Linked DNA regions of Xenopus tropicalis. The main gene of each other region encodes a partner of the protein of the gene in region 5 in a complex. Links are inferred from orthologs where the notes say so. Each region holds a gene or a part of one and is shown on either strand. Other genes may lie near its edges.

Region 1 (3,995 bases), on a different chromosome or scaffold from region 5:
AGCTGGTTTATGCAATATATTTTTAGAGAGACCTACATTGTTTGGGGGTATTGTTTTCCTTTAAGAGAATCCTTATTTCAAATGCCATTGGTGTGCACTGCACACAACAGACAAAATATGTTCATGTCAAGTCCTATTTATTGACACATTTATACATACACTGGGAAGTCACCCTCTTTTAATGTGGAGCTCTGCAATAAAAGTGTTTACTTAATATACACATTATACACATACCTGACCATCTACCAGTGCAGTCAGGGGGAGGTAGTCAAAAAGGTCAGTGAAATACTTCCAGACATTTGCATTTCCATATTTCCTTAAGCATTCATCATAAAATCCATATACTTGTGTGATTTGTCTACTTTCATGATTTCCTCGGAGGATTGTGATGCGTTCCCGATAGCGAACCTGAAAGGTATGAATAGGTTTTTGCAATAAAATGGAAACAGAGACTTCTATCATTTATTATACACAAGTACCCCCAGTACAAGTTATTTATAAACCCTAAATTCATAACCTCATATCAACATTGGCAATCTATCCAGCTAAGTGGCAGATAAGATTCAGTTGTTCATATCCCCCTGAAATAATGCTACATCCCGGATGAAACTAACTTGCATAATGCATACATTGCGTACAGCGCCCTCCCTCAAATTCATTAACGAACAAATTTGTTAAATGAACAAATTTAACAGTGGACCCATTACTAAACCCTGCAGGATCCCATTAAGAACCCTTCTCTAAGTAGAGAATGTACCATTGAAAACCAACAGACAGAAAATGTAATTCGAAAAACTTTGAAAATACAAATTAAATGCAAGATGTCTATGGTGTAAAAGTTGTAAATGTAATTGTTACAGAAAGCGATCTTACTATTCTCTGCCCTGCTGGTTTTGGCTTTTGAAACAATGTAGCAAAGCTAGTTCATTAACAGAAGCAGCATGCAAGGTTTACTTTCTGTACATTGTTTTAAGAGACAGAAACAACAGTGCAGCAAGTCGCAGAAAAATGCTGCTTTTGACAGCAAAAAACTACAAAAAAATATTTTTCTAAACCCCCTCCATTCTACAAATGAGCCTTCTGGCTTTACGGTACAAATGAATATTTAATAACAACTAGAAGAAATATTTATGGCTTTTTAAATAGAACAGACTGGATTATTTATAGCACTACAGCATCATAATGAAATACATATTTTTCATTTATCTATCTGCACATCATATAGGCTGCCCACTTTTTTTTAATGTTTATTGGTGTTACAATAACATGCTTATACATTAGGAGACTTTAAAAGCTTTTTGGATAATATTTGAATTGTATTCATATGTATCATTTTTTTCCCTTCAACATACGATGGCCTTCTATATATATTATATTAGCATTTTTTATTGCTTGTGCTTTTTCTGCTACAAGTTCTTGTTAGGGGACTCTTTAGAACAGTTTTATTTTATTGATACACTGATAGCGCTCTATATTTCGTCTTTTCTACTGTACGTGAATGGCTACTGTCAACTGATTTATCTGGTGTAGTAGGTATAAAAAAAACATTAATATACATACAGGACAGAAAAAAAACACATATCCTCAAGCTCTACTAAGCATTGCCCTATCAACTTGTTGCATAGATTACTGGTTGTTTTTTGTATGTAATCTGTATGTATGTATACACATTTATTGTACAGCACTGTGGCATATTTTGGCATTTTATTATAAGAATACCTTATAATATTGTATTGTTTCATTGATTGCCAGTGGAGCACCATTAATATAAATGAATTATCTTACCTTAAGTGCAACAAGCAGCGTTACAGTTTCAACAGAGTAATATCCTCTGTCAACATAGTCTCCCATAAACAAATAATTTGTATCTGGTGATTTGCCTCCAATTCTGAACAGTTCCATAAGATCGTGAAATTGTCCGTGTACATCTCCACATACTGTGACTGGGCACCGAACTTCCTGGACATTTGATTCTTTTGTTAAGATTTCTTTTGCCTGTAAAATAAACACATTTGCTGTTAACTGCTGTAAACGAGTCATTTGTGATATTAAATCGAGACCTTAATATGCCCTTACATGTGAAGATTTAAGCTGCCAATTCGACTACTTTAGACAGAGTTGGGTTTGAAATCTCCACTTGTTTTGTGCTTTTGGTAGAGGTATGGGACCAGTTATCCAGAATCCTTGGGACCTGGGGTTTTCTGGACAAGGGATATTTCAGTAATTTGGATCAGCATAGCTTAGTCTACCAAGAAATAATTTAAACATTAAATAAACCCAATAGGATTGTTGCGCCTACAGTAAGGTACTGTTTTTTAATTCATTAAAATGGAGTCTATGGGAGCCTTTCAGAAGACTTTCTGTATACAGTTATGTGTTCATATATTCAATGTTTGATTTTCCCATATCTCATATTTTGTGACAGAAGTGGAAAAAATTATAGCAGACTGATAAGTTTCCTGCAAAGTTTAAAGGGGAAGAGAAAAAAAAAAGTTCTAAAAATTGGTTGGTATTTAATGTAAATCAGTTGTAAAATGTTGGTTTCTCCACAAAGGGTCAAAGAGCTAAACACAGAAATTTTAAGGCAGGGACAGTTTTAGTCCTATACTGTAGGGAACTTGAAAATATCTGGGGGCACTGTCAACTGAACAGTAACCCACTGTAAGCAGTGATTAGCACTGATGGGTTCCCATGGGCTACTACCCAGATGCAAATTGCCCAGTGTTTCAGTTAATGACCCCAAAATCTCATTACTGAGGCTAATGGATATTCAACCTGAACCCCAAAGGATCAAGTATCAACTAGAATGCCAGTTTACTATCAAAAGCCAAAGTGGATTTTTTACATTTAGGAATTTGTCACACGGGACTAAGTAATTTACCTAATATCTTTATATGCTGCCTGGTATATATTAAGGCAAGTGGAATTCTCATTTTAGGCTAATGTCACGCAAGGCTCTAGTGCCATTCTCTGTAACCAACTTATACTGTGCATTACATTGTGAGTGATTGACTTATTCTGATCATCTTCATATTGGTGTTCATTAATTATTAGCCAGTCCAGTCTTAATGTTATTGCTTGTTTTTCTTTTTAGGTCCTCTATTATTCATTTTTTATTTTTATTTCAAAACTGATCCCACACAAGGGTATTTTTTAGAAAATAAGCTCTTTTAAACATGGCCCTCTCTCTTTCTTGCATTGCCTATTTGTTTGCTTTTGTATATTACTTTGTATGTTTAATGCATACACCCATTTATTGTACAGCACTGTTGAATACGTTGCTGCTTTATAAATTTGGCAAAGAAGTACCCCTGGGAGACAGAAGAAGATGGCGATATAATGAACCCTGGGCCTTTGCAAATTTCAGTGAACAGGAGCACCAATCAAGTAGGCAATTATACTCATTGGGAGCACCCCTTAGTGATTATACTGTTCCTTTTACATCTGCTGTTTGCATTAAAGGTTTGCTATTGTGATCTCTTTCATATTTCCCTTCCAGTCTGGTTCCAAACTAGAAAGCTACAAAACAGTTCAAAACAAAACCCAACTGCAAACTGTACAAATTATAAAATATATAAACAGTTAACTTGGAGGTGACTTGTCAGTTTATTTATAGCTGCTGCCAGTCTGAGAAGGCTGGAATCTTATGCAAGCAAAATTACTAGCACCATTAAATACTAAATTATACACACTCTAGACAGCACTAACAGGCTTACCCAGTTATTCATCATTAATTTGGCCTCTGCCCTTATGACGCTTTATCGTCCTAGTTGCTTATTTATTAAAACCACCGTTTTATATTTTAAAGTTACTTGTAAATGTAATGGAGAAGCATGTGTATCCATTCATGCAGACAATGAAAGAGAAACTATATTTAAATTTAATAACAATTGCAGTTAAAAAAAAATAAAACCACTAAAAGCTGCAATTTATGTATATTTGAAAGCGGTTTATAGTTATTTTATATTTCATAGTAAAGTTTCTTACATGAAGAT
Region 2 (4,751 bases), on a different chromosome or scaffold from region 5:
GGTAACACTTGTCAATTGCAATCAAAAAGTGCAGAAATATATTGAAACCTAGCATTTTTTTAAAAAGATTTCTGAATAACCATTTTCACCTTATCAACTGTCTATCAGGAAAATGAAAGCCCAAATGACTAGTAAGTGTAAAATGGGCCTAACAGCACAAACTTTTTAGACCTTTCTTACTAACAGAGTTAAATTTGGGAAAGAACTGGTGAATGAAAAGGTTTGTACAAGTTGAGTAGCTGAAAGCCTCCTGGGTTTCCAGCAGCTGTTGGGTCTTCTCTCTCTATTGTGACTGCCCTGGATAAGGTTATAGCATATGGTGTCATAAAGGCTAAGTGTAACACACTGCTGCTGATTCCCAGCACATGGACACCCTGTTGGACACTTACACTTTACTGCCAAATGGGAAGGATCATAACTGTTTCTTTGAGTTTTACAGAAGTTTAGATACAAAGTAACTAGTAATCTGATTGCAATGGCAGCATGGAAGTCAGGACTAGAATTGCTAACGGCTTGATCAGAAGCGCCGCCTTTTGCTAATGTATCTTTGTAACATCCAAAGGAACTCAAATAGCAGCAATATTCTGCACAAAGGGAACACAAAGTCATACAAACTGGGCAAATGCCGAGCGAAACACAACTAATCAATACTAGCCAAAGTCAGAGAACCTCAGAGCCTTGTGAGCAAGGCAGATACATCACCTGCTTATAGAAGGTTGCAGTTCTAGATTTATAAAAATTCTCCCAATTCTCCTAAATGTGACACTGGCTACATGTAGAGCCTGCCAACCCTCACCATGTGCCTTGCTTTCTAGGGATATAGAAATAGAACTAATCAGTATTAACAAAGACAAACATGCCATATTACAATAGAACCCCTGATTTTATGTACCTGGATTTAACATTTTCCCATTATTGATAGTTTTTCAGTTTTCCCATACAAGCAAGTGGCGTCTTGTTCCCCCCCAGATTTTATACCATTTTGACACCATCCACTGGGACATGTAAAATCGGGGTTCCACTGTATCCTGATTAGGCTATTCATTGTCAGCCACTGAAAATTAAGCAACAATTAAGCTATTCTTGATTGATATAGTATCACAAACATCTTAGTGAATACCCCAGTTTCAGGACAGTTATTCACATACACACACAGTTAGCCAACATAATAAAAGGAGCACCACCACCAATCAATTCCAGCGTACTAGCACTGGGATAGAAACAAAAGCTCATACATGGCCTTCACAATTACACATACCTACCTAAGTCAGTAGTTAAAATGTGAATAGAGTTTTTATTCACTGCACTTAATTATAACATGTTTAATATAGGGTTTATAAAAGGTATGGGCAGAATAGACAAGAATGCATAGGATTAGATCAAACAATGTGTGGATTAAAGTAAAGTTGCACTTGAAAATAAAGGACGGGCATTTTCATTACCTGTGAATACAATAGGATCTTAGAACAGGATGGACCTGTGCAACCAATGGAACACTTTATAAGTTTAAAGACCTATGTAGAACAATCTGCCTGGCTCAGACTGGGCACTAGCCCACATATAGGCTATCCTCACTCACTGTGGTGTAGCTCTGCTACTTTGAGATTTGGGGAATAAGTCTAATACAGCTTACAATCCTATCTGTCACCCTGCAAGCCCACTGGGGTCAGCATGACCTGGGCAGCTGAAGTGAGGCAAATGAATGCCTGCAGACAAGATCACTAGGTGCCGGCCCTGGGAATGACAGGAGCAACAGGGCAGTCACTTGGCCCAGTCATTACAGTCCAGTTACCCACTGTCACTGCTCTGTCCTGAGCTGGAGAGGAGAGACAGGCCTTCCCCAGGGGGAGGCTGCTAATGGGAGCAGAATGTCGGCCACGTAGGCCCCTATATAGATAAAAAGAAAGGTTCCATGGCATTGCAAGAAGGTTGGGCTCTCAATATGTGGGAGGGTTGTCCCACCTGGGCCCTATGAACGCTGCAGAACTACAATTCCCAGCAACCCCTGGTCAGTGGTGGGTGGGACGCTAAAACCCAGCTAGAGGGCAACAGATTGCCCCCCTGATCTGTATAGGGACAATATCTGACAACTGTTACACACTTGCAATTCTTCCCCACAAGGGAGCCATGAGATACTGGGGGTCCAGAGCAAATGCCCTCTCTGCCCTACCCTAAAAGCGAGCCTGCCAAAATGGCGACCTGAAAGTAACCGAGCAAGGCCCCGCTTCCTGTCACTGCATTCCCCCTGGGCACCTGTGCCGGACTCCCCGCAGCTCATACACAGCCGGAGTGTGCCGGGGGTGCGGGGAGATGTAGTTCAGCTGGGAATGAGGAAAGGCCAGAGACGGGTGCGAGTCTGTAGGGGGCGCCACACTGCCATCCCGGTGGGGCCCCCCGTCTCTCCCTATTGTTCCCCGGACCCCTCACCTGCAGCTCGGCCTTCTCCACCTCCCAGTGCGCTCTCTCCATCTCGAAGCGGGCCCACTCGTGTTGGATGTAGTGCAGGATCCCGGGGATAGTGTACTGAGGGGGGCGGCTGGCTAGCTCACAGCCAGGCTCAGATGGGGCTCCCTGGGACTGGGCCGGACCCACGGCCTGCAACCTCGGAGACGCGGCCATTCCTCCGGCCGCCGGGAGATCCTCCATCCCGCCGCTACCAACCCTCTCGCAAGGACTCCGCTACAAGTGACGCGTCCCGTTAGGGGGCAAATAGCTCCCCGGTGCCAGTCAGGAGAGAAGCAGTGAGATGGAGCGGCCGGTAACTCTCGCCCCCCCGGAGGGGAGCCCGCCGCCGTCCCGTCTATAAGTTGCGCACAAGCGCACTCCTGATATTGCCCATTTGTTATCTGTCACTTCCCCCCCGGGGTCCGGTAAGCTCCGCGGGGCACTCTGGGAAACACCGGCCTCACACACCGCCTCCCGCTGACAGCGTCAAGGCGCATGCGCGGGCCTAGCGGACTGACGTCACAAAGGCAATATGCGTCACGTGATCCCCGCCCCGCCCAGAGGGCTAGTAGTGACGTAGTTCCGCATGGAATGGTGACAGCCGAATGCTACCGGAAATCATTGTTGGTTAGCCGGCCGCTCCACTGATGGGATGCTCCCGCCTTGAACGGGTAACCGGCCGTCGCTTTCAGGTTTCGTTGAGTGGCTGAGAGATTTTATTCGCCGGCCCCTGGAGCCGTGATCTAAATAGAAACGTGTTTTATCAGCCTGAGGAGGGTTTAGCAAATGGGGAGCCAATTAGATTCACTGTGCACACACTACATACAGTATGCATACAGTAGCAATGGCCACCTCGTATCTACAGTGAATTCAGTAAGCAGCTTCTGCCTATCCTTGCCTGTGCCATTGTTCTCTCCCATAGCCTGCAGCCCGCTATTCCCTAGGCTCCATGTGAGTTTCATGCCAGTATAAATACGTTGCAATAGTATGACTTGAGGCTTGGGATACCGGCAGCTTGTTGGTGCTGGCCTGAGAGTGTTCAGACAGTAGGGACTAAAAAGTGGTAAAGGGATGGGGCAGAAAGAATGCCCTTAGTCTCCTCACTGGCCCTGCAGATAAATGTCAGTGTGGCCCTTGGTCACCATGGCCACTTCCCATTCACAGGCAGGGGGGCTCTTGAGTTCAGGTATTGTGGCTGGCCGGAGGTACCCCAGTCCAACACTGGTCTTATTTCTAAATATTCTCATTTAGAAATGTGGTCAGTAAGCTGCAAGTTGCAGCCAATCAGAAATCCCCCTATCTGTATCCCACCAGATCCCTGTAGTTTCAGGCTGATAATAAGTGAGCTCCTATTTCCACCTTACACCTTTATGCTGGTGTTTGGTACATTTCAGTTCAAGATAGTGCTAAATCCTCTTGCTCCATCAACAAGCAAGGACCTTAAACCATGACACAAGAGACACCCTTTGTTGCCGCTATAAGCATCTATAGCCTGCATTGTACATTAGGACATCTAACCTGATGTTTTATATACATCCTTTCCAGCTCTGGATAGCAGCTCGTCTGTAGAGATGATCAAGTTCTTCCTCATTGTGAACAAGCAGGGACAGACCAGGTTGTCAAGATACTATGAACGCATGGAAGTCCAGAGACGGACACTGCTGGAATCTGACGTCATCAAATTGTGTCTGTCACGTTCCAAGGATCAGGTGAATACTGCGTTATGGAGGTTGTAGGATAGTGACAATCCCTGCCTCCTTACCTCCCCTTTTATCTGTTTAGATGGAGCCTACCCTTATTTTCCCTTATGCACACACTCTGGGTAGATGTTGATATTGCCTTATGGAGTGAGGCAAAATATCAGGCCTAGCCCAAAGGTATGTAATCAACACACACTGTTTGTTTACATTTTTAGCTGGATGGGGCCCAGGCTGCTTTATTGTTAATACCCCTGTGTAAATATTACCATTGTGCCTCTTTGCTACTCCTTGGCAGTTAATGGCAGATTTTACTTTATACATTTATTAAGACCCTCACAATTGGAGCAATAGCAATGATCAACCCCAGTAAAACTTCTCTTGATCTTTTAATCTTTGGATTTTCTTATGTTCTCTCTCCTAGTAGAGAAATAATACTTCTTATCCTAATTCTTCTCTTCCCATCAGTGTTCCTTCATAGAGTACAAAGACTTTAAGCTGGTGTACAGGCAATATGCATCTCTCTTCATTGTCGTTGGAATCGATGAATCTGAGGTAAGGTGCTGGTTTAAATGCTTAAAGCGATACCAACGTGTTCCTATGAAAATG
Region 3 (3,341 bases), on a different chromosome or scaffold from region 5:
TTTCTAATTCTGTTCTTTTGTGCAGCCAGGGTTCCCAAATTTTGTCAAATGTTTCTGGAGATCAGCATACCAGCTTTTGTTTAGGGAGAGTTTCACATTTAGTTATTGTTAAAGGAGAACTAAAGCTTAACAAAGAAGAAGGGTAGAAATGTTGAACATTATGCTTTGTGCTTCTCTACCAGATCCGTGCCCCCAAAGATGCCCCAGTAGCTCCCCATCTTCTGTTCTGCCGATTCCCTGCATATGCTCTGTGCTGCTGGCACTTACCTGAGCTTAGGGACCCACTTACAATATATATATATACACACAATATAAAAGTCACAATACAAGGCTTATTAATAAATTCAGATTCTCATTACATGAGAGCACAGAAACCAGTGTATTTTGCATCAAAATGTAATAATCCGCTTCTATGACATGTGATGATTTGCAACAGCCCCTAAGCTGAGCTTCTCTGCAGCTGCCCAGAGCCCACTGAGCATGAGTGTTACTGACAATTCTAACAAAATCCAAGATGGTGAACCCCCTGTGCGCAACTTTGAAGACTCAAAACTCAATACTACTATAGAGATTCTGAAACTTCAAGCTGGTTTAGTACATTTAGTCTACAAAAATCCAGTACTTCTACCCACATTTGTTTTTAGGCTTCAGTTCTCTAAATTATTTGTATTTCAGCTAATTCAAAGTGGTCACTTTATAATTAAGGAAACTAGAAAAAATCATGTCTCCCAAAAAATCTGTATGAAATGTCAGTTTATTTGTATATAACACTGGCTCATGAGAAATCTTTTCAGAAAAATAATGAATAAATTCTTTCATATGTTATGGCATGATTTGTCTGATCATTCACAGTACAGCCCCATGGTGCCATGGGAAATGCAGAGATGTATCTGTTGGCTGGGTGCATGAATTCATGGTGCGGTGGAGAACCTATAAAACAAGAGAATGGACAAAGAACTCAAAAAACTGCACTGATGGAACATGAAATATTCAAACGACTGCAAAACCAAAATCACAGATGTGGCTACTAAACAGAAAGTGTAAATTCTGAACTAATAGTAGAAGAGGGTTCCTAGTGAACTTACTCCCTACCTTTTGCATTTGGTAAAAGAAACCTGCATTATACGACGGCAGCAACTCTTCTGTGTTCTCTAAAGTGTCAGGGCTGTTACTTTTGTCTTGTGCATACATGAAAAAGTGAAAGAAAAGGGGAGGTTTAGATGAGCACAAAAAGTCTCCAAATGATGTAGAAAAGATAGAGATCAATTTATTAGGTGCAAATTCATTACAATTTATTCTCCACTATAAATAGAATATTAACAACATGTGCATATGTAAAGGGGGGGAGACATGTAAAACATGCAGTAGTCACAGGGCCATATCCTATATACTGGAACTTTAATATTTGACTAAATGGTACTTTTAGGGGGGGTCCCCCTTAATTTTTAATGCAGAATAATTTGCAATGAAACTGCACTTAATAAACTGAATAACCCTTTTCTCCATAATGGGGAGAATGTAGTGTGCTTATATAAACTTCTACTTTTCTTTCAGCTTTTCGTGAAGTTTTCATTAGTTGGAGCACCTTCCTAGGATTTGGGATCTGCCTGTGGCAGTTGTCAGTGCTATTGTCTCTTGTGCATATCCTGTAGATGGTGCTGTGTTCGTATAGCTATAACCCCAGTCTGTCAGAGATCAGCACCACCCTCTGGCAGCAGCCAAGAGCCTCTGATACTTTGTAATGTAATGACAGCTTTGTTGTGTCTTTATTATGCAGTTACTTTTTTTCGGCAGCTCCACAGTAGGGAATTATATCTATACCTGCCCTTACCCCTTCTCCATAGTTAAGCTTTGATGAACAGGAAGACATATCTGAGTATCAGTCAGTTATATACTGTAGTACCCTATTAACGAAGAGGAGGTGTTCCCTTGCTAAGGCTAATGCCCGACGGGAAGATTAGTCGCCCACAATAAATGTCTGCTGCCGCAGGCGACTAATCTCACCGAAAAGCCCTTCCACTGGCAATAAAGGGAATTGCTGCTGAAAAGGCCTATGCATCACTTCGTTTTTGTGAAGTCATGTTGAGTTTCCTACTGCAGGCAACTTTGCACAACTTTGGAAAAAAAATCAATGTTTATGCCTTTCCTCCAGCAATTCCCTTTATTGCTGGTGGAAGGGATTTTTGGGGAGATTAGTTCTCACGGGCAACACATTTTCCCGTGGGACGTTAGGATTATTCTTCGTGGAAGCCCCAGTGTTGGACTGGCCCACCAGGATACCAGGAAAACTCTCGGTGGGCCCAGGGGTCTGTGGGCCCTGTTGTTTCTAACCATTTGGCCTTTTTTTTTGGCATTTACTTCATGGTCATTCCCTATTTCTGAATGGTAACAAAGAGGAGAAATAGATGACAGAATAGATGCTATCATGTAAATAAAAGAGACTTGGAGAATAAAGTGGTTGAGTGAGGAAAGGAGGAAAAACAGTTTGGAGCATGGGCCCATGGTATAAGGTTTTCTGGTGGGCCCCTGGGGTCCCAGTCCCGACACTGGGAAGCCCCAACCGGTGGAGAGCAGCATGGTACAGGATAGAATGGTTCCTAGGCAGTACTGAGCAGAAGGAAGATTGTTACCTCTGCACTCGCTGCACCAGGTGAGAGATCAGCTGATCTGTGATTCCAGGGCTCGACTCCTCGGCCAGGCTAAAGGCATTTTCCAGCTCCTGCACTGAACCAAATGCTCCAGCACTGCGCTGTTCCCTTAGCTGGTGGGCAAAGAACAGAAACAGACTGCTGCTCTATTACAGACCTTTAAACACTCATCTTTTACATCTGAAAAATGTGTACAGAGTTGCTGAGTTAAGGGGGCCATACATGGGCAGATTTAAGCTTGAAAAACTATTTGCATGTACTTTTTATAAATGACTGGAACACACAAAACTCCCGGTGCAGGTAGCCATGCTGTGACACACGCGTGCACATAATGAGTGCCACAACTCGATCATTATGCGCATGGCACGGGTATGATGTAGCAGGGCGAGTTAAATCCACCGCTTTCTATGTCAGGCACATGCGAGCAAGCATAGATTCGCTCATTATGCACGTGTGTGCCAAACAATATGGCCATTCCCACCGGAAGCTCCCTCCTGATGCAGGCGGCCTAGTACTGGCAGGGGGTATTTTTTTAAAAATACTCTAACCGGAGTGCGGGCTCTATTACTCTGCATCTCTGGTGGGGGAAATAATGTTGGGGTGATGGATGCCCTTTAACCAACCTATCCCCCTTCCACCTCTCCCCACAAATCTAAACTGTGAAAACACAAAAAATATATTAAAAAAGTAGTC
Region 4 (4,763 bases), on a different chromosome or scaffold from region 5:
ATGAATTAGTCACTAAGAAAATCCATATTTATTCATGTATATATGAAGATATCAATATCAATGAAAATAAATATATTTTCAGTGTTTTGTATTTTATTCTCAGTGTTATACACAAGCCTGATTTATCATTGTGTACATTCCCCTAACACCACTAACCAAGGAGCAATCAGGCACACCTATATATCTGTATAAATGCCAACATATTTTATAAAGTTTCACAAGTTTCACTTGTTGTTGAGGAATGAAACGGTAGAAAACTTCAACATGGAATTGTGGGACAATAAATAACTAACAAGTATTCTGATTTAATTATAGGCACAGGTCTCGAGAACAGGTCAAGTATAAAGAAAGTTAACAAGTGCACATACATTAGATACCTGAATGGGTCTATTCAGATAGATCCACACATGACCTGCATTTTTCCCCACTCTGACAAGCTACCAAACCCACAACCCTGTCTGCTACCTGCTGCCCACTCTAAAACACAGAAGCCATGTAATCAAAAAATCAAAGGTTGCATCATCAGAAAATACAGAAGGCTGGAGAGAAGCTATTTTGAAAGAAGCTGAGCAAGTTGCCATACACAACCCAAACCCCAATGTACCTACATAATTTGAACCAGCAGGACTCTTAACATACTTAACACAGAAAGGCCTTCACGTTATTGTGAATTAGTTATAAATAAAACAGAGATTAAAACAACAGAGATATATTGGGCCCCTAAACTTCCCAAAATATATGCATGTGGTAGAGTAAGCCCCACTTGTGCAAGGACAAATTAAAATGATAAACAGGATCTCAAAAGAATGCACAACATGTTTATGCTATATAAAGAATAATATTACTAAAGATCATTAAGTTTATGTAAACTATTAACCTCACTTTAAACTTTGGTTAAGGGCCAAAAGCTTCTTGATGCCCATGCTTTTTTAAAGCGTATATTTTAATTCCAAATATACAAACATGGCACCTAACTCAAGATTCTGTACTTAAATTGTCTTCATTACAATATTGTTCTTGGAAGTAATGTAAAATGCATATAAGAACATTGCTTGAACACACCTGTAAACCTAACAGCAATTCCAACATTGATGTATGAAGTGGGTACTATGAGTAACATGTTTATCCTCAGTAAAAGGGGTTGAGAACTTGATAATGGATCAGTTCAAGCTCATCACTGCAAAATATTAAATTTAGAATACTGACAATGATAAAAGATGACAATACAACTTAGGGTCATACATTTCGTACTGCTAAAGTGCCACACCACAAGCACCAAGAAGCCCACTGAGTGACTGTATAACTGGTTTATTTACACTCAGGGGTATAGATTTTGGAGTGTTTGGTGGGATGACCTGTGTGCCACATAGATTGGGCTTTTCTCTTTTTTGTTAGTACAGTATACATTAATAAATATAGCATTTATTGCATACAAGCAATACTGGCATACCCATAGTATTTAGTCAAGTGCCTTAGATGTCTTACATTACAGAATGAGGAAGACACCCTGACCATATTGATAAATGCATTCTGGCCAAGCCATGGATATGATACAGGTATAGGACCCGTTATCCAGAATGCTCAGACCAAGGGTATTCTGGATAAGGGGTCTTTCCGTAATTTGGATCTCCATACCTTAAGTCTACTAAAAAGTCAATAAAACATTAAACTCAATAGGATTGTTTTGCATCCAATAAGGATTATTTATTTCTTAGTTGGAATCAATTACAAGGTACTATTTTATTACTACAGAAAAAAAGGAAATCAGTTCTAAAATTCTGCATTATTTGATTAAAATGGAGTCTATGGGAGACGTGCTTTCTGTAATTTGAAGCTTTCTGAATAATGGGTTTCCGGATAAGGGATCCCATACCTGTACTTTTAAACGCGGGTAAGAACTAGCACTCAAAGCAAACACATTTCATAAATGATGCTGGGCAACTTGCGGGCAGCATATAACAGCCCTGGTTTAGCATAGGTGTGTTACTGTACAGTAATATTTACAGTATTGTGTATAAGCTCTCAGTGTATGCCCGTTTCAGACAGTGTCTAGACCCATGCAAACAGGAGTGAACTGATGACGTCTGTGCTTGGCTTGGGGTTCTTCTATCGTCTCTTTGAAATGTCAGTTCCATATACAGGTGCAAAACACAATCTATTCAGCAGATTTGCCTGAATCTGACACAGGGGTTGAGCGGTCAATGTTAGTCGCAAGGGTCACACAGGCGACATCCCTGATCTTATCTAATGACGTAGCAGGCGAGTTCCATGTATTAGTAAAGTGCAGAATTTCTGGGACGGTGTGGGAACCTTTACTCGGCTGGCCAATAACTACAGCAATCCAAGGTAGCAGACATTACCTCTTTGTATGTGTCAGGATGTAGAAAAGCCAAGCCGGCCCATACTATAGACACAGAACCTACCCTGGTCTAAGGTTCGATTCTTTATGGTACTGGCACTCAGCCTCTCAGTTCCGGATATACAGTGCCAATGTTATACACACAGCCCCCGACTGTGCCTAAGCTTCAAGTTCAGATTCTCCCAGCCCTAGCCCTTCTACTTGTGCCTAGGCTATAACTACAGGTATTGCCAACCCCTTGAGAACTGGCAGTGCCCAGGCTTTCCTAAAGATCCTGCTTAGGTACGACTTAGGTATCGTAAGATCCTGCGGGAAAGACTTTGCCCCATAGAAACGGGCAAGAGGTTTGCCGGCTAATAAAGCCACAGAGAAATCTCATTCGCAGCTCTAGTATGCTCTGCGTGGCAGCTCACCTGCATCCCTGGGACTTGCACGGCTACCGGGGAGTGAGCCATGGCGGGCGGCGTCAAGGCCTCCTACTCCGACTTGGCGGTGGGGTGCGAGCGGGGATTGCTGCTGCCCGCTGCTGCTCAAACACTGCTCTGGCTATCCGTGGCTATCCGTCTGCAGCCTGACACTGTGACCATTTCTCGGTGAAGGTCCAAGTACTGAAAGCCTGGGTAGAAGCTCAGCAAGCTCGGGGCGCCATATTGGGAGAGGACTGAAGGCTGCAGCTGAAGCCACGCAGGGTGGAGCCGCAGTCTGACTGAAGCCGGTCACGTGGGGTTGTGGTGATGTCAGGCGGCCCCGCCCCAAGCGATCATTGAGCGCTAGTATGTGAAAAGGTGACTAGGAAGATGTCATGCTACCTGGGCAGGGCTGGGAAGCTTTGCATAACGAGGCAAATCCGTCGCAGACTTTCCATTTTGTTATGTCAGTCATGCAGGGTGACTCTTACAATATCTCTGTCTGACTGAATCTGCTTTAATTTGGTATTGAACTGATTCTTCCAGAACCCTCAATGCCTCAATGGGGCTCTGCTCCTATACTAGGACTAAACTATCCTACTTAATAGGTGACCTTGGCTCTTCTCAAAGTAGGATAAATAGCCGTGCTTGTGAGAAAGTGTTCTGTAGGCTACAGCCTCCTAATATTACAAAGTTTTACTTTCTCATTATGAAGAAAGGTGGCGCGAATGTGTTATAGAAGACTCCACTTTTTACAATAACTGTTCTAAAAAGTGCAGAATTACTCTAGGTATCACACTTTTACAGTTATTGAATAAGAAGACTTAAGTAAAGCTTGTGGAGCATGTTCTGTAGAGGCTTAAAGGAGAAGGAAAGTCATTTTGGCATTTTACTGCCAACAGATTCACCACATTAGTGCCACCTAGAACACTATATTTATTCTGCAGAAAGCATTACCATACCTGAGTAATCAGCCCTAGAAGCTCCCTCTGTTTTCTTATGATTGCAGCTAATATACAGTTATCTGTTTACCAGCTAAAAATATACTAGAAGATCAATCTAATTTTTGGGCCACAATATATTCAGTATGTCAACAAATTCCCCTAGTGGCATGTTACTGCTGTAAAGACTGGCACAAACATTTTGCTACATTCTGTTCACATTTGCTTTTCCTTCCTGCATATTTTACACTACTGCTTTACTTGAATAGCCTCTTCATGTGTGATGGTGGTGGGACCCCTACCCATGATATCAGTCTGGATGTACACACTAAATACCAACTAACAAAGATTATAGAGATAGTAGAGAAAAGGGTTATGAGGAATGAGCCACTACATAATAGTACCATTGAAGCATGAAAGGTTTTTTTGTGTGTCTCTCTGTATACAGAAGTATGTTGTAGTTGACAAATGTCCAGCATCTGTGTTTAGTTGTGTTGTGTTGAATACCCCAACATACTGTTCTTCGACTTTGGCTTATTCTTCCGCTTCTTCTTGTTATTCTTAGCGCCCCCCCCATTTTCTAAACGCTACTCCTCCTACAGTTTTAGGGGTACAACACCCAAACTCGCTACACATCTGCGCCCTATAGCGGAGCAGGTTGCTTGTGCTTTTCTAAGCAATCCCGCCCCCCGTCTTTATGTGGCGCCGCTCCAATTTTTCCATTGACTTTGACAGGGAAGATTTTCAAACTGCTGCCGCACTTATAGCTTTGAAGCTATACCCCCCAAACTTGAATAACATAATCATGGGGTCACCCTGAATGAAACAGCAACATTTGTTGGATGATCCAAAGTGGGAGGGGCCAACAACAGCCAATCAAATTTCAACAGCCAATCAAATGGGGAAATTGAAACTGCTGCCAATCTTACAGCTTTGAGGCTACACTCCCCAAACTTGAATCACATAGTCATGGGGTCAGCCTGAATGAAAATAGGATGATTGTTGGATGCCCAAAAGTGGGTGGAGCTGTGAACAGCCAATCTGATTTTACCTATT
Region 5 (4,573 bases):
TAAGACATAGGCTAAAAAGGCTCTTCAATTCTTTCATGTTATTTAATAAAAAAAGTGGTACTGAGAAAATACATTCATATACCAGCTGATAAAAGTTTACACAATGGTAGCAGTTTGTTTGTTTGTGAAGAATGCATCAGCCAAAAGCAAGCAGCATTGCAGTTATATTTGTACTAATTTTTGCATATTGTGAGAGAACCAACTATGCACACTTATGTTGGAAAGTAGGAAAGTAAAAGGATGGTAAAAAAAATTATAAGTTGAGTAATATTTTTATTGTACTTAGTGTAGATGACCAAGATGAAGCCCTACAATTTACCTGAAAGTTCTGCTGCCCACTTGTCAGAATCAGCATATATAAACTCTAGGTCCGGAGACTCCGAATAGCCCTAAAATGAACAGAAGTGCCATAAAAAAATAAACAAAAAAAGAAACCCAGTGCAACAATTTTAAATTTATTTTATCATTCAAGTTGGCAACAAACAGCTAAAACACTTTATGGCATATTTATGTTTTCTGTCTGCACACATAAAAATAATTACAAAAGGCATGTAAATAGTATCACCAACAAATGGTCATCTTTGATGTATACTGTAGAACAATAAATCATCAACATGAAGACTGCGGTCTTGGAAATATGATAGTTCACAGGAGAGACTGGGAGATGGACCAGTCAAATTGTTCTATCATTATCAGATTGTTAGATTATACCCAAACAGTCAAACTAACAACAATTTTCAGACCTTCCCTTTAAATCAAATAACTAATATCTGTGGTAAGAGGATGTCTTATCTGATCATTCTTTGGACACAAAAGCCCAGAAAGTCATAAAAAAAAACCTTTTATCCAAAAACATTGGAAGGCTAACGGCTCTGGCACACGGGGAGATTAGTCACCCGCGACAAATCTCCCTGTTCGCGGGCGACTAATCTCCCAGAAATGCCATCCCACCGGCAAAAATGTAAAAAAAATGTGAGTTTCCTCTCAAGGCAACTTCCGCGATTTCAGTGAAAGCGCGCCGCCGCTTATGCCATCCCACCGGCGATTTACATTTTCAGGGAGATTTGTTGCGGGCGACTAATCTCCCCGTGTGCCAGAGCCCTAAGGGTGAAGACACACAAGGCGATTAGTCGGCATAAGTCTTTAAAAAGTCGCTGCGATTTCTCTACGCAGCGAAAACCTGTGTGCTATTAGTCGCAGCAACATATACAGGATCCTTTGAAGGGAAAGTCGCTGCGACCATTCGCCCTAATGGCACATGGAATGTTTTTTTTCCCCATTGCTGTAGATACACCAGCAGAGAAAAGCTGATCTGCTGCCTTCTGCCCCCTCTGTGTGCACTTCTAGGCAAGGGATATACCTGTTCACTCACAGAGAGCAAATACAAATACCTATTATTGCATTTCCACGCTGAATTATGTGTGGACAGCTTTCAATGCACTTGCAACTAGTCACAGAATATGACTGCACTCTTGGAAAGAAAAAAAAAATTATAACTTCGAAAGATATCAATTCTTTCTCATAAGACTGATGCAAACAAAACCATATTTCTTAGTAGTCTGGGAGATTTAAATGTAATCAGTTTTGAGACCTAACTTTATTCATAGATGTTCAGACACTGTACGTGTTACACCTTTTTTCCTCAAAGGCTAATTTGCTTAGGTAATATTTTCAGTAGCTCTTTTACTTAACAGGGAAAACAATGAAACTGAAAGTGATTTCATTTTGCAACCTGGTTCTTTAGAGTAACCGTGGAATAGGGTCACATTATAGCATAACACATTACGAGAGCAATTGTAAACCCCAGGTGATGAAGCAGTAAACACAGACCAATAAAAAAAAAAAAATCTCACTAGTAAAAGCAAGGCCATGCTAGGAGATCTTTTGCTCATTGAAATATTTTCATGAGTACCCAGGGCCCTCTACCCTCAGACTAACTTTCAGGCATTTTCTGTGAAACCATGTGACAGAGTGGTACATTTTTATACTATTTTCTTAAGTCTGAATCATGTTTACAGCCCAAAGAATTCTCTCCTCAGTTACTTTTACAATATGCACAGCTGCTCCCAAATACCATTTGTTTGTTCCACCCTGAGAAAGGTGCAAGTGGTGAAATCTTAGCTTTGCATTAAATTCAACTTTTTGAATAATACATGGGCATGATATTTCCAGGAACACTTTAGGGCTCATTTACGTCCACGAGTGCAATAGTGGTCCCCAGTTTCCCCCCAACCAGCTGCACCTAGCACCACTTTTATGTTCTCCTTCCTACCTTCCGTTCCAAATTGAGAGCTGCTGCACCAGGGGAAGCCTGGAGCTGCCACACACTTGCTGCACCTAAAGAATCAGGTACAGACCAAACAGTAGAACTGACGCCAGCTGGATTTTGGCGCAATTGCATCCAATTTTGGGTACACAGTTGCAAATCAGATACAACTGCAATAGACAGAGCAATTGTGCCAGGCGTATCACTCCACTGAGAACCACAATGACTCAAATTCTGGGGGAAAAAGCAACATTTTTTCAAAAACCTGCAGCAATTACGCTCAAAACTGCACTTTTCTCACTACATTTGCAGAGGTACATGTGCCTTTCTGTCACAGCATCTTCCTGCAGAACAGGAATATAATGTGTGATTCTAAATGAAATGCTCAACTTTCAGGATGACGGAGATTTAATTAAATATTTTTGATAACTATAGGTTATATTAACATGACAGCAACCACGAAGAACTATAATATATATTTTTGGTGAACAGTAAAACTAAGACAAGTCAGCAGTTTAGAATAGTTCGCAAAACTGATGTGAGATTCCTTTTGGAATGGGCTTTTTAATCAGGTAAGAACTGTCTTGTCTTCCTGTCACAGGTTCCCCAGACATACCCCGGTCACTAAGTAAGCATAAAAGCTGGCACACAGTTACATTACAAGGGTAATTCGAGGATAACTGAGTACTAATCAAACACAAATGTTAATGCAATATAGTTATACATAACAACCACTTTTACTCATACCTCTGAATCCTTGCGCTGTGTACGGTTGTACTCTCGTCCCTTGCCCGGTTGGGGGCTGCCAATTACCGCACCACCGATTCCTGTTCTCATTTTGTTGTTGACAATCAGAGAACCGGAAGCCTCCATCTTTCTCAGGCGACGCCCACGTGACGTGACACCGCCGTCTCAGTAGAACATTTGCGGTGGAACGCAAAGCCCAAGGCGTGTCTGTTTCTGCTTTCCAAACATCGCGATAGTATGAAGAGTCTCGCCCTTTCTTTGACAAACTGGGCGGCTTATAGAGACTGATGTATCGGCACCAGTGTGATAATCAGTGTTTTGTATATTCCTGTCTACATAACATGTATTTTATTGCTGAGACCTGCATTTATCTATATATCTAACCATGTATTCTCTGCAGTTACAGCGATGTTTGAAAGCCGGCTACCCTTAAAGGAAACGTTAACTCTAAATACATTCATGTAAAATTGGGCTTCTTGCCACTTTTATTAGGTATTCATAGATTTTAAGCTGGTAAACGTTTTTACACAGCTAATGCGTCTAAATTGAAATAATAGCACCATCTGCTGGTCAGTTCTATCAACCAAACTACAGTCAGAAAATTTCAGTAGAAGAAACTCTTGTAACGTTGTCAGAGTGCTTATACAATTGAGCAAAAGGAAGTGTCCAGATCTAGGGTATGAGCGCTGCAAATTGTGCACCTGATGTTTCTAAAAAGTAAAATTGTAAAATGAGGCAACACACATTAGCTATCCATAGATAAGTGAAATGCACAATTTACATTTTTAAGTTATCTAAATGGCCCCTGATAATGGGCAATCATTATTGGAGTACACGTACATCAGCAGTCAGGTGTCCTGAGATGAAAAGGCATGATTCCAGGTTCTTAAAAGGGATGGGGCTTGTGGATGAGTGGGCAAGGTTTTGTTGGAGTTTTGTCTTAAATTAAGCTTAGAGACAGGTTAGAACACACTGTATAGGAGGGGCAATTTTTGTTTCGTTGAGGCCCTATTTTACTTGAGACAGGGCTTACCATTCAGGGGGCCTAGGTGTCCATCAGACTATTAATTGGGACCCCCTGGTGAAGGTGGAGATCCCTGCTAATTTAGTAGGATGGGGCCATAGAACATACACCCTAGTTTGTAATTACAGTGATGAGAAAAAGTATTTGCTGCTCCATTGTTTTACCTGGTACTGCATATTTGCAAAGCGAGTTGTTTCCGAGTTTAAATGTAATATTACACAAGGGAAACTGAGCAAACACAAAGAACAGATTATATATATATATATATATATATATACACACTTAGGGCCGCTTGAGAAATCATGAAGCCCCCCACAACAAAATTTTCTGGGCCCCCCTCTTCTCATGTGCCCGCCCCCAGTGACCCCTCCCATCAGTACAAAGGACACACATACATTGTTAGCATTGCTGGCCAGGGCCCCCTAAAACATTGATTTACAAGTACATTAGAGGGGATTATAGGCAGATGGGGGATGTTCTTTTTTCCCATAAAAACAATCAATGCACCAGAGGTCACCCCTTTAGATTAGAGATTA
Region 6 (3,995 bases), on a different chromosome or scaffold from region 5:
CAACTTGGAAGCAGCGGCTCTTCTCACCATGGGAGTATCGTCTGAGCACAAGTTTCGGAAGTGCCTATAGAGAAAAAGAATGTGCGCATTTTTTATATAATGAAAATGTGCTGTTTTATTGCAACGTTTAATAAAACTGTTTTCATTAAAAGGACTGAAGAGATTATAGTAGGTAAAGATTATAGTACTCGCATTATTCCCCCTAATTTTGTTAGCAATAATGAATAATATATTTGTCAGCTTTCACTAAAATATTGGTCATTGCAGAGTAGTATTGCTCTGGCATTGTAAAGGGTTAACACTGGAAACATTTGGTATTAGGTCTGCAAAGAGTCCCTTTAGACACTTTCACAGGAGGGCTATGCAAACATGATATTCATATCTGAATTTGGAGACAATTCGGAGTGACACCATTTGGGCAAAGAAGTTGAGCCAGTCACTTCTTTTGAACTGTGGATCAAAGGAAGGAGCTGTGAACCTAGGGCTGCAGGGGGGAGCATTTATGGAAAAAGACAAGGATCCATTTCACCTCATATATAGGGTTCACCTCCTCATAAATCATATATATTGGTTGTGTGGCGGTCACACAATTCCTAATGATACCAAACAGGGACAGCTTATTCCCACCATTTAGGAGGGATTACCACCTCATGTTTGGTATCATCCTTATCACCCACATATGGGTCACTGCATACCCCTATTTTCACTATAATATTGGGTACTGGCACTGTACTAATATTATATTACAGAAAATGGGCCTAAAACCAACAACCACAGGGGGTCATTAATGATTTGGTCCCACCTCATACATAAGGTAATGAGGGTGAAAGGAGAATGTCCCAGCAGGCCATAAAAAGGGGTATAACCCTTTGGCTGCTGGAGTACTCAGTAGTAGAACCTCACCCTCACTACAATGAGAAAGAATGTGCGATACATTTGTGTATGGGTAAATATTACCCATTGTAGAGAGCAGGGAGATATATAGTATAATAGTTATAATCGTCTTTAGTCATGTGTTTAGTAATGTTATGCATTATAATAATACATGTATAGGACACTGCTTATTGGATAACTGTATGATATTTAAGTAAGGCCACAATCTGGTGGTACTCACTGTCTAAGTTCGGCCTTTACAGTGCTGGAGACACGTGGATAGCAAACGCTGAAGAGGCCACAGGCAGATGTGCGGGAGGTGAACCAGTCTCCACTAGCCAGGCGCTTTACCAGTGGCACAAAGTGAGCTTCAAGGTCAGAAGGTGAATGCTCGTGAGAAATGGCACGGAGGGATTCAACGGCTTTGTCTCTTACTACGGTCTCCTCGACTGTTGCCAGGCTCTCCAATGGCGGCTTTTCAAGGCAAAATGAGAGATGGTTAGAAAATGATAGATAACTCAGTAGATAAATCCAGCGCTATTCCTGTTCACCAATTTTTTAATCAAATGTTTAAAGGGTCAGTACCTTTGCAAAACCTTTTTAAAGTTAAAAAACAAATAGTTTTTTTGTTCCAACCATCTAAATCAGGTCCCCAACCATCTAAATCAGTGGTTCCCAGGCTGGACCCCAAGGGGGAGGGAAATAGTCTCCATACTAATTAACGTGAGATTTGCCCATTTGCTCACCTAAATACAGCGAAAAGACCAGCCTGAAGGTATATTAGAGTAAAAACAGTAAAACATATTTCCTTATTCTTAAAAGAGAAGAAAAGGTAAATACTCAGTAAGCTTTATCAGTAAGGACTATGTAAATACAGCCATAAGCACTCACAGAAACACTGCACTGAGTCCTCTATCAAAAGAAACACAGGATTTCTGGTCTCTTTTTTTTGGTAAAAATGATGTTCCACTGTCTGACTTCCTCTCTCAGAAACAGCCTTAATTAAGGTGACCAGAGTTCTCTCCTGCTCCCCCTCCCACCAGAATGATAAGAACTCCCTCAGGAATGTGTGATCTCAGCTATAACAGCTAGACTGCAGGCAGGAAGCTACTTAAAAGGGCAGCTGCTATCTTAAGCAAATGGAGAAAGTGTCTAAAGCTGTTTACTCAAGTATGGTAACGGTTTCTACAGAATAAATATAGCGCTCTAGGTGGCACTAATGTGGCAAATCTATTGGCAGTAAAATGCCAAAATTACTTTCCTTCTCCTTTAAAGCTTTAGCTGAATGGTTGATATGCCTATAGTTTCCTATATTTATAATCTTGTTATGTGTGTAGGTAGCCCCTCAGTTTAGACAGCCAACAACTTGGCTTGCTAAGATTTTTAAAACGTAAACACTCGGACAGAAAATGGTCAAAAAATAAATAAAAAGCAAGTTGCCCCTATTTTCAATTACTGGAGTAAATATATTTTATACTTTTTGAAAACATTATTATGAACACAAACAGCCACTTTAAACAGAATTATAATATTCTAATTATATAATTACTGGGGAAGAGTCTATTTGTATTGGAGTCTAATAAATACTCACCAGCAAGCAGTGTACAAATTCTGGTCCCCCCACCAGTGAAGTAAAGGTCCCCAGCTGCTCAGCCAAAGCAAGAAGAACTTCATCTTCATCATATATGGTGTCTAAAAAAAAATGGAAGGTCAATCATGAGGATTAAAGGAGACATATACCAACACTTCTGAGCATTTTTGCCGTTATTTTCTTTTTTTTTTTTTGTTTTCATTATATTAGTACAGGTATGGGATCCTTTATACGGAAACCCGCTATCCAGAAAGTTACGAATTACAGAAAGGCTGTCTCCCATAGACTCCATTATAACCAAATAATTCTACTTTTTCAAAATGGTTTCCCTTTTCTCTGTAATAATAAAACATTACCTGTACTTGATCCCAACAAAGATATAATTACCCCTTATTGGGGCAGAACAGCCCTATTGGGTTTATTTCATGGTTAAATGATTCCCTTTTCTCTGTAATAATAAAACAGTACCTGTACTTGATCCCAACAAAGATATAATTACCCCTTATTGGGGCAGAACAGCCCTATTGGGTTTATTTCATGGTTAAATGATTCCCTTTTCTCTGTAATAATAAAACAGTACCTGTACTTGATCCCAACTAAGATATAATTACCCCTTATTGGGGCAGAACAGCCCTATTGGGTTTATTTAATGGTTAAATGATTCCCTTTTCTCTGTAATAATAAAACAGTACCTGTACTTGATCCCAACTAAGATATAATTACCCCTTATTGGGGGCAGAACAGTCCTATTGGGTTTATTTAATGGTTAAATTATTCCCTTTTCTCTGTAATAATAAAACAGTACCTGTACTTGATCCCAACTAAGATATAATTACCCCTTATTGGGGGCAGAACAGTCCTATTGGGTTTATTTAATGGTTAAATTATTCCCTTTTCTCTGTAATAATAAAACAGCACCTGTACTTGATCCCAATAAGATATAATTAATCCTTATTGGAGGCAAAAACAATCTTATTGGGTTTATTCAATACTGCAATGATTTTTAGCAGACTAGGAGACTTTAGGAGATCCAAACTACGGAAAGATCCTTTATTCGGAAAGCCCCAGGTCCCCAGCATTCTGGATAACAGGTCCCATACCTGCAATTGTGCACTGCTAATATAATGCATGTGTAAGAGAAGCGCTCTTGCTGTTCTGTCTGGTTGCTGCCCAGCAAAAACTGAATTTAGCAATACAGGAAGTATTCCTTATTTCATACCACAGCTTTTCTTTTAACTTTGTGAAACAGGTTTCTCTATTCAGTCCAGCAAATCCTCAGCGTATGACTTACCGGTTAGGAATGGAAGAAGCTCGCTGCGTGTTCTCTCTACCCCCAGGGCCAAAGCAATAGTTGAGAGCTTTTTAATGCTGTTAAGACGAAGCTGGAAAAGCAAAATAGAATTTAAGTTAGCATGCAAGATTTCAAAATGGCGCTTGATATTTTCTATGTATCAGTAATAAAAAGCATCATTGTAACCACAACAATCTCTATTATTAGCATATTAAAGAGGAACTAAAACTTATTTAAACT
Region 7 (4,574 bases), about 49 Mb from region 5:
AGCATTATTTCTGGTCATGTGATCTCTGAGGGAGCACACAGTCCATCACTAAATGGTGGATCAAGGGAAAGGATGTAAAAGGGCAATATTTACGGATATATATTCCAGTTTGGCAAAATTATTTAATAGGTCACAACATAATATAAATTATCTGTTGGTTAAGTATTCATTTTGGGGGTATAGTTTTCCTTTAAAGGCCTATGGTACTAGTAGATATACAGTATATTTAAAAAACACACGCACAAAGTTCACTATAACAGAAGGCCTTACAGGCCTTTTCAACTTACTCTACATCAGGGATCCCCAACCTTTTATACCCGTGAGCCACATTCAAATGATAAAAGTGTTGGGGAGCAACACAAGCATGAAAAAAGTTCCTGAAGGTGCCAATAAGAGCTATAATTGGCTACTTAATAGCCCCTATGTTGAATGGAAGCCTATAGAAGGCTCTGTTTGGCAATTACATTGGGTTTTTATGCAATCAAACTTGCCTCCTAACCAGAAATCCAAAAATAAGCACCTGCTTTGAGGCCACTGAGAGCAACATCCAAGGGTTTGGTGAGCAACATGTTGCTCATGAACCACTGGTTGGGGATCACTGCTCTACATGATTGTTTTTATGACCACCAGCTTGACCAAAGAGGCCACAGGCATAAGTTTTACAGGATCTAGTTTGCAAGTCTAAGAAGGTGCCTTGCATTACAAACCAAAGGAAAATAAACAAACCAGGCAGCAACGCTTCACTATATTTTACTATGATTATTTCCTGTTGGCAAATAAGCAAGTGTTCAGAGGAAAATGCTGGAGCTCTATGAATAAAGAATGAGTAAATTAAAGAGTCCTGCAATGTAGTCATGCTGTTTATGGGAATGCATGTTTCTAGATTGGAAACGTTCCATGACAGCCCTATAACCCCATATTAAGGTGAAGCTCTGGTCAGCATTCTGCAGTTGTTCCAGTGCCTGTTCTCAGTAAACCCAGTCAAAAGTGCATGTATTTTGGACATGCTTACATGGACATGGTTGATTACCATTTGAGCCCCCTGAACTACTGTGAGCCGGGAACAGTTCTCTCTTGGTGGGGCGGGGAGACTAAGAGCTATATACAATGCTAATAAAAGCATTGTCTGACCAGTTAAAATTCTACCATAACAAACATTTAGGCTGACAAAGATGCCACCAGAAGTACGGCTGGTAAAGTGCCACACCCTAAGGGGATGGTAAAAATCAAAGTGGCAAATTACAATGGACAAGAATACACCCAAAATGCTTGTGAATGAATCACACTGTAGATAATCTGCCAAAATTGTAAATGAGCTGTAATCAGTGAGGTACAAGTTGCACTGCAGCACAAAGGCCAGGGACCTGTAAAACTAGTTGGTTTCAATGACCAGTTTTTCTACTGCAGTAATGAGTGCGAGTAATGTACAAGGTATCTCTTCCTATGTGGGACAGAGGTGCAGAAAAGCGTCCCCACCCTAGAAGTTAATCAGTTGGCTGCATGATGTCTTCAAATTGATTTTTATGGCCCTAAGTCACAAGAGCAACACAGACCCCTTTGTAAAAGAACAACATTTTACAATTTGATCTGGACCTTAGTATGTAACTGCACTGCTACCCATCAATATGGGACAGTCGTTTTACAAAGCTGCTTGAGTTTATTTCAAGGCAAATGGTGACAAACAGCAGAAAAGGGTTATGGGAAAACATAATGCAGAAAGCACCTCTAAATAGATGCCAATATGTATTTCTTATCCTGTTAGGCACTAATAAGAGCTTATCTCATGCAGGGCTTTATAAAGCAACTTAATCTAAGAAGTCCAAGGCCTTTAACCTAAGGATTATGTTACAGGCAGATAGAATCTAAACTACTTTTCGGAGACTCTTATTCCTTATTATTATTATTAATATTATTTATACACTACATTTATTTTATTTAACCTGTCAATTTTAAATTGAGATTTAGTAACCCTTTCAAACTAGAAAACTGATATTGAGCACATGGTCACTGTCAAAGTAGTGGTTTAACTGGCAAGTTGGGGAGCTATAGAAACAAAAATTCAATTTAAGAATAAAAATTAAACTTAATTGCGGCCTCTCACATACTTAGTCACTGTTCCCCATTCCCCTTAGCCACACCAGCACTTTACTTACAGAAATGTCAAACAGTGGCACAGGCCTAAAAAGTTTCCATTGTTAATAAACAAAAAGCATGTTTATGTCACAGTTTTATGTTTATGTCAGTTGCTTTACTCAGTGTGTAAAGAATTATTGGATCTGGATTCTTTACTCAACACAGCTGTAGTAGATGGGAAAGCAATGTAGGTGTGTAACAGAAAGTCACAGTGTAAGGGACACCCAGCACCATTACACATGTCACTATGAGCAATTACATATAAATGAACCAGATGTATAAATGGATTTAGCCACTAAAATGGGCTGATCTGATTAATCTGATTAAAACTCCCACAATAAATGCCAGCTGAAGATCATTTTGGGGGGGGCAGCAAGGTGAACTCGTATTTGCTCCCACAGATGTGCTAGGACTGTGGCCAATAACAGTAATGTTTCCCGTATGATGAGTTAAAGGTTTCCGGGCAAACCATGCACCTCAATATGCAGACTCAATGGAATAAGGTCCCAAATGCCTTGATTTCTAGCCTGATCTGTAGCCTGGAGCATCAATACCTGCACTCAGATGTCCAACCTGCGGCCCCCCAGCAGCTGTACTAACTACTCACACTATCCAGCCTCCATTCCCCAGCATTCTATGCAAGCCAAGTTTCTGGGAGTTGTAGTTCAACTGCTGAAGGGCCGCAGACAGACTAATATATACCAGAAGGGGTCGAAAGCCAAGCTAAAGGCGAAGGTAGGACGCGGCAGAGCTCACCTGTATCCCAGGCAGGCCGGGCTGCACCGGGGAGTGACTCATACTGATGTGCCGGCAGCACAACCCCGGCCCTTACATCCACTGCGATACCGAGGAGTGTTCCCCGGTCCCCCGGGCTTCCCTCTGCCTACGAGTCCGGGCCCAGGAGGAGGAGGAGCAGCCGGGGGCAGAGCTGGGGAGCAGGAAGAGATTGGCTTTATTATTGTGCTGGAGAGGAGGATTTCCGGCGGCGGCTGAGGCCAATGATCACACGAAATGGGGAGAAGCAAGTTTGAGGCTGCAGTAGATACAAGGCGATGTCACCACGGTTTCCTCTCTCGTACAGAAAACTAGAGCAGGAAACAAGAAGAGCAATAACCACCCATCTACCCTCCTCCTCCTCCTCCTGTCTCTTCCCCTCACACAGCTCCTCCTGCGCCCTCACTCTCGCCAGGGCAATGGCATGTCACTTTAATCGGACTCATCTGCTTCTCTCCCTTGGGAGCTTTCCCCCTGCCCCTGGGTGAGACACAGCTGCCACCCCTGGGTGCCTGTATAGCAGGAGGCGCTACTGCACTTAGGGTGCGTTTAGTTCATGCCTATCTAGTGTGGGAGAGTAATCAGGCACAATATACCCCTGTATTAGTACTGACAAGGCTACAGGTATCAGAAGGGGAAAACCAGCAAGTGCAGCACAAACTTGCCTCCACTTTACCGTTCCCCACAAACGACTGCTTTCTAAGCTAAGGTCTATTGGTCTTAGTAATGTTGTTTGTACATTGATAGAAAACTGGCTACAGGATCGGGTACAGAGGGTGGTTGTTAATGGTACATTCTCTACTTGGAGTAAGGTTCTCAGTGGGGTCCCTCAGGGTTCTGTACTGGGTCCACTTTTGTTTAATTTGTTCATAAATGACTTAGGGGAGGGTATTATGAGTAATGTATCAGTGTTTGCAGATGACACAAAACTCTGCAGACCAGTCAATTCTATCCAGGATGTGACATCCCTGCAGCAGGATCTTGACCAACTGGCAATCTGGGCAGCTAAGTGGCAGATGAGATTTAATGTGGATAAATGTAAGGTCATGCACCTGGGATGTAAAAATATGCAAGCCCTGTATACCCTTAATGGGACTGCACTAGGCAAATCCATAATGGGAAGGGCCTTGGAGTCCTTGTAGATAATAAACTTGGCTGTAGCAAGCAATGCCAGGCAGCAGCTGCAAGGGCAAACAAGGTTTTGAGCTGTATTAAAAGGGGTATAGATTCACGGGAGGAGGGGGTTATTCTTCCCCTTTACAGAGCGCTGGTAAGGCCCCATCTAGAATATGCTGTTCAGTTTTGGTCTCCAGTGCTCAAACGGGACATTGTTGAGTTAGAGAGGGTCCAGAGAAGGGCAACTAAGCTGGTAAAGGGTATGGAAAGTCTCAGTTATGAAGAAAGACTGGCCAAGTTGGGTCTGTTTACACTGGAGAAGAGGCGCTTAAGAGGTGACATGATAACTATGTATAAATATATAAGGGGATCATATAATAACCTTTCTAATGCTTTATTTACCAGTAGGTCCTTCCAACGGACACAAGGGCACCCACTCCGTTTAGAAGAAGGGAGGTTCCATTTAAATATTTGGAAAGGATTTTTTACTGTGAGAGCTGTGAAGTTCTGGAATTCCCTCCCCGAATCAGTTGTACTGGCTGATACATTAT

What was found.
Region 1: the proteins of strip1 (region 5) and ppp2ca are in contact, whole or in part, in a cryo-EM structure (PDB 7K36), measured with the Homo sapiens proteins. The link is inferred for Xenopus tropicalis from reciprocal best matches to the Homo sapiens genes STRIP1 and PPP2CA. Residues at the interface, in NP_149079.2 of Homo sapiens: Gly421, Leu422, Pro426, Phe436, Lys443, Phe444, Pro460, Arg461, Pro462, Ile463, Glu465, Ser466, Thr469, Leu470, His473, Arg726, Lys730, Met733, Ser737, Tyr740, Gln741, His745, Arg746, Leu747, Asn748, Asp749, Trp751, Ala752, Tyr753; in NP_002706.1 of Homo sapiens: Thr40, Glu42, Ser43, Asn44, Ser171, Pro172, Ser173, Ile174, Asp175, Thr176, Asp178, His179, Arg181, Ala182, Leu183, Asp184, Arg185, Leu186, Gln187, Glu192, Gly193, Pro194, Gly208, Trp209, Gly210, Ile211, Tyr218, Ile224, Thr227, Phe228.
Region 2: the proteins of strip1 (region 5) and strn3 are in contact, whole or in part, in a cryo-EM structure (PDB 7K36), measured with the Homo sapiens proteins. The link is inferred for Xenopus tropicalis from reciprocal best matches to the Homo sapiens genes STRIP1 and STRN3. Residues at the interface, in NP_149079.2 of Homo sapiens: Arg441, Ile445, Tyr447, Leu449, Thr455, Val456, Val457, Gly458, Leu459, Arg491, Ser492, Pro493, Leu494, Ser495, Phe792, Leu793, Pro794, Val795, Asn797, Cys798, Leu799, Val802; in NP_001077362.1 of Homo sapiens: Thr64, Pro66, Gly67, Leu69, His70, Tyr71, Gln73, His74, Val88, Glu89, Ala91, Glu92, Ala95, Arg96, Phe99, Leu100, Glu103, Gly106, Gln107, Leu110, Asp113, Leu114.
Region 3: strip1 (region 5) and stk25 share a complex: the UniProt entries of both Homo sapiens proteins name them as parts of the core of STRIPAK complex. The link is inferred for Xenopus tropicalis from reciprocal best matches to the Homo sapiens genes STRIP1 and STK25.
Region 4: strip1 (region 5) and stk26 share a complex: the UniProt entries of both Homo sapiens proteins name them as parts of the core of STRIPAK complex. The link is inferred for Xenopus tropicalis from reciprocal best matches to the Homo sapiens genes STRIP1 and STK26.
Region 6: strip1 (region 5) and ppp2r1a share a complex: the UniProt entries of both Homo sapiens proteins name them as parts of the core of STRIPAK complex. The link is inferred for Xenopus tropicalis from reciprocal best matches to the Homo sapiens genes STRIP1 and PPP2R1A.
Region 7: strip1 (region 5) and stk24 share a complex: the UniProt entries of both Homo sapiens proteins name them as parts of the core of STRIPAK complex. The link is inferred for Xenopus tropicalis from reciprocal best matches to the Homo sapiens genes STRIP1 and STK24.

The regions. Positions count from the first base shown.
Region 1 is NC_030679.2:26,547,042-26,551,036, reverse strand, and holds part of ppp2ca (serine/threonine-protein phosphatase 2A catalytic subunit alpha isoform), read right to left. Parts: intron 1,996-3,995; coding exon 1,786-1,995; intron 409-1,785; coding exon 235-408; intron 1-234. UniProt on the Homo sapiens protein: Catalytic subunit of protein phosphatase 2A (PP2A), a serine/threonine phosphatase involved in the regulation of a wide variety of enzymes, signal transduction pathways, and cellular events.
Region 2 is NC_030684.2:113,226,525-113,231,275, forward strand, and holds the start of strn3 (striatin-3), read right to left. Parts: upstream 2,941-4,751; 5' UTR 2,647-2,940; coding exon 2,428-2,646; intron 1-2,427. Other genes in the region: ap4s1 (AP-4 complex subunit sigma-1), read left to right, coding at 4,017-4,154, 4,611-4,697. UniProt on the Homo sapiens protein: Calmodulin-binding scaffolding protein which is the center of the striatin-interacting phosphatase and kinase (STRIPAK) complexes.
Region 3 is NC_030681.2:125,808,183-125,811,523, reverse strand, and holds the end of stk25 (serine/threonine-protein kinase 25), read right to left. Parts: intron 2,762-3,341; coding exon 2,631-2,761; intron 1,179-2,630; exon of another isoform or gene 1,093-1,178; intron 931-1,092; coding exon 912-930; 3' UTR 736-911; downstream 1-735. UniProt on the Homo sapiens protein: Oxidant stress-activated serine/threonine kinase that may play a role in the response to environmental stress.
Region 4 is NC_030684.2:67,410,991-67,415,753, reverse strand, and holds the start of stk26 (serine/threonine-protein kinase 26), read right to left. Parts: upstream 3,006-4,763; 5' UTR 2,815-3,005; coding exon 2,773-2,814; intron 1-2,772. UniProt on the Homo sapiens protein: Serine/threonine-protein kinase that acts as a mediator of cell growth. Modulates apoptosis. In association with STK24 negatively regulates Golgi reorientation in polarized cell migration upon RHO activation.
Region 5 is NC_030678.2:72,084,832-72,089,404, reverse strand, and holds the start of strip1 (striatin-interacting protein 1), read right to left. Parts: upstream 3,147-4,573; 5' UTR 3,140-3,146; coding exon 3,014-3,139; intron 390-3,013; coding exon 320-389; intron 1-319. UniProt on the Homo sapiens protein: Plays a role in the regulation of cell morphology and cytoskeletal organization. Required in the cortical actin filament dynamics and cell shape. Part of the striatin-interacting phosphatase and kinase (STRIPAK) complexes.
Region 6 is NC_030683.2:120,831,337-120,835,331, forward strand, and holds part of ppp2r1a (serine/threonine-protein phosphatase 2A 65 kDa regulatory subunit A alpha isoform), read right to left. Parts: intron 3,847-3,995; coding exon 3,756-3,846; intron 2,566-3,755; coding exon 2,465-2,565; intron 1,348-2,464; coding exon 1,115-1,347; intron 65-1,114; coding exon 1-64. UniProt on the Homo sapiens protein: The PR65 subunit of protein phosphatase 2A serves as a scaffolding molecule to coordinate the assembly of the catalytic subunit and a variable regulatory B subunit.
Region 7 is NC_030678.2:121,371,311-121,375,884, reverse strand, and holds the start of stk24 (serine/threonine-protein kinase 24), read right to left. Parts: upstream 3,058-4,574; 5' UTR 2,932-3,057; coding exon 2,890-2,931; intron 1-2,889. UniProt on the Homo sapiens protein: Serine/threonine-protein kinase that acts on both serine and threonine residues and promotes apoptosis in response to stress stimuli and caspase activation.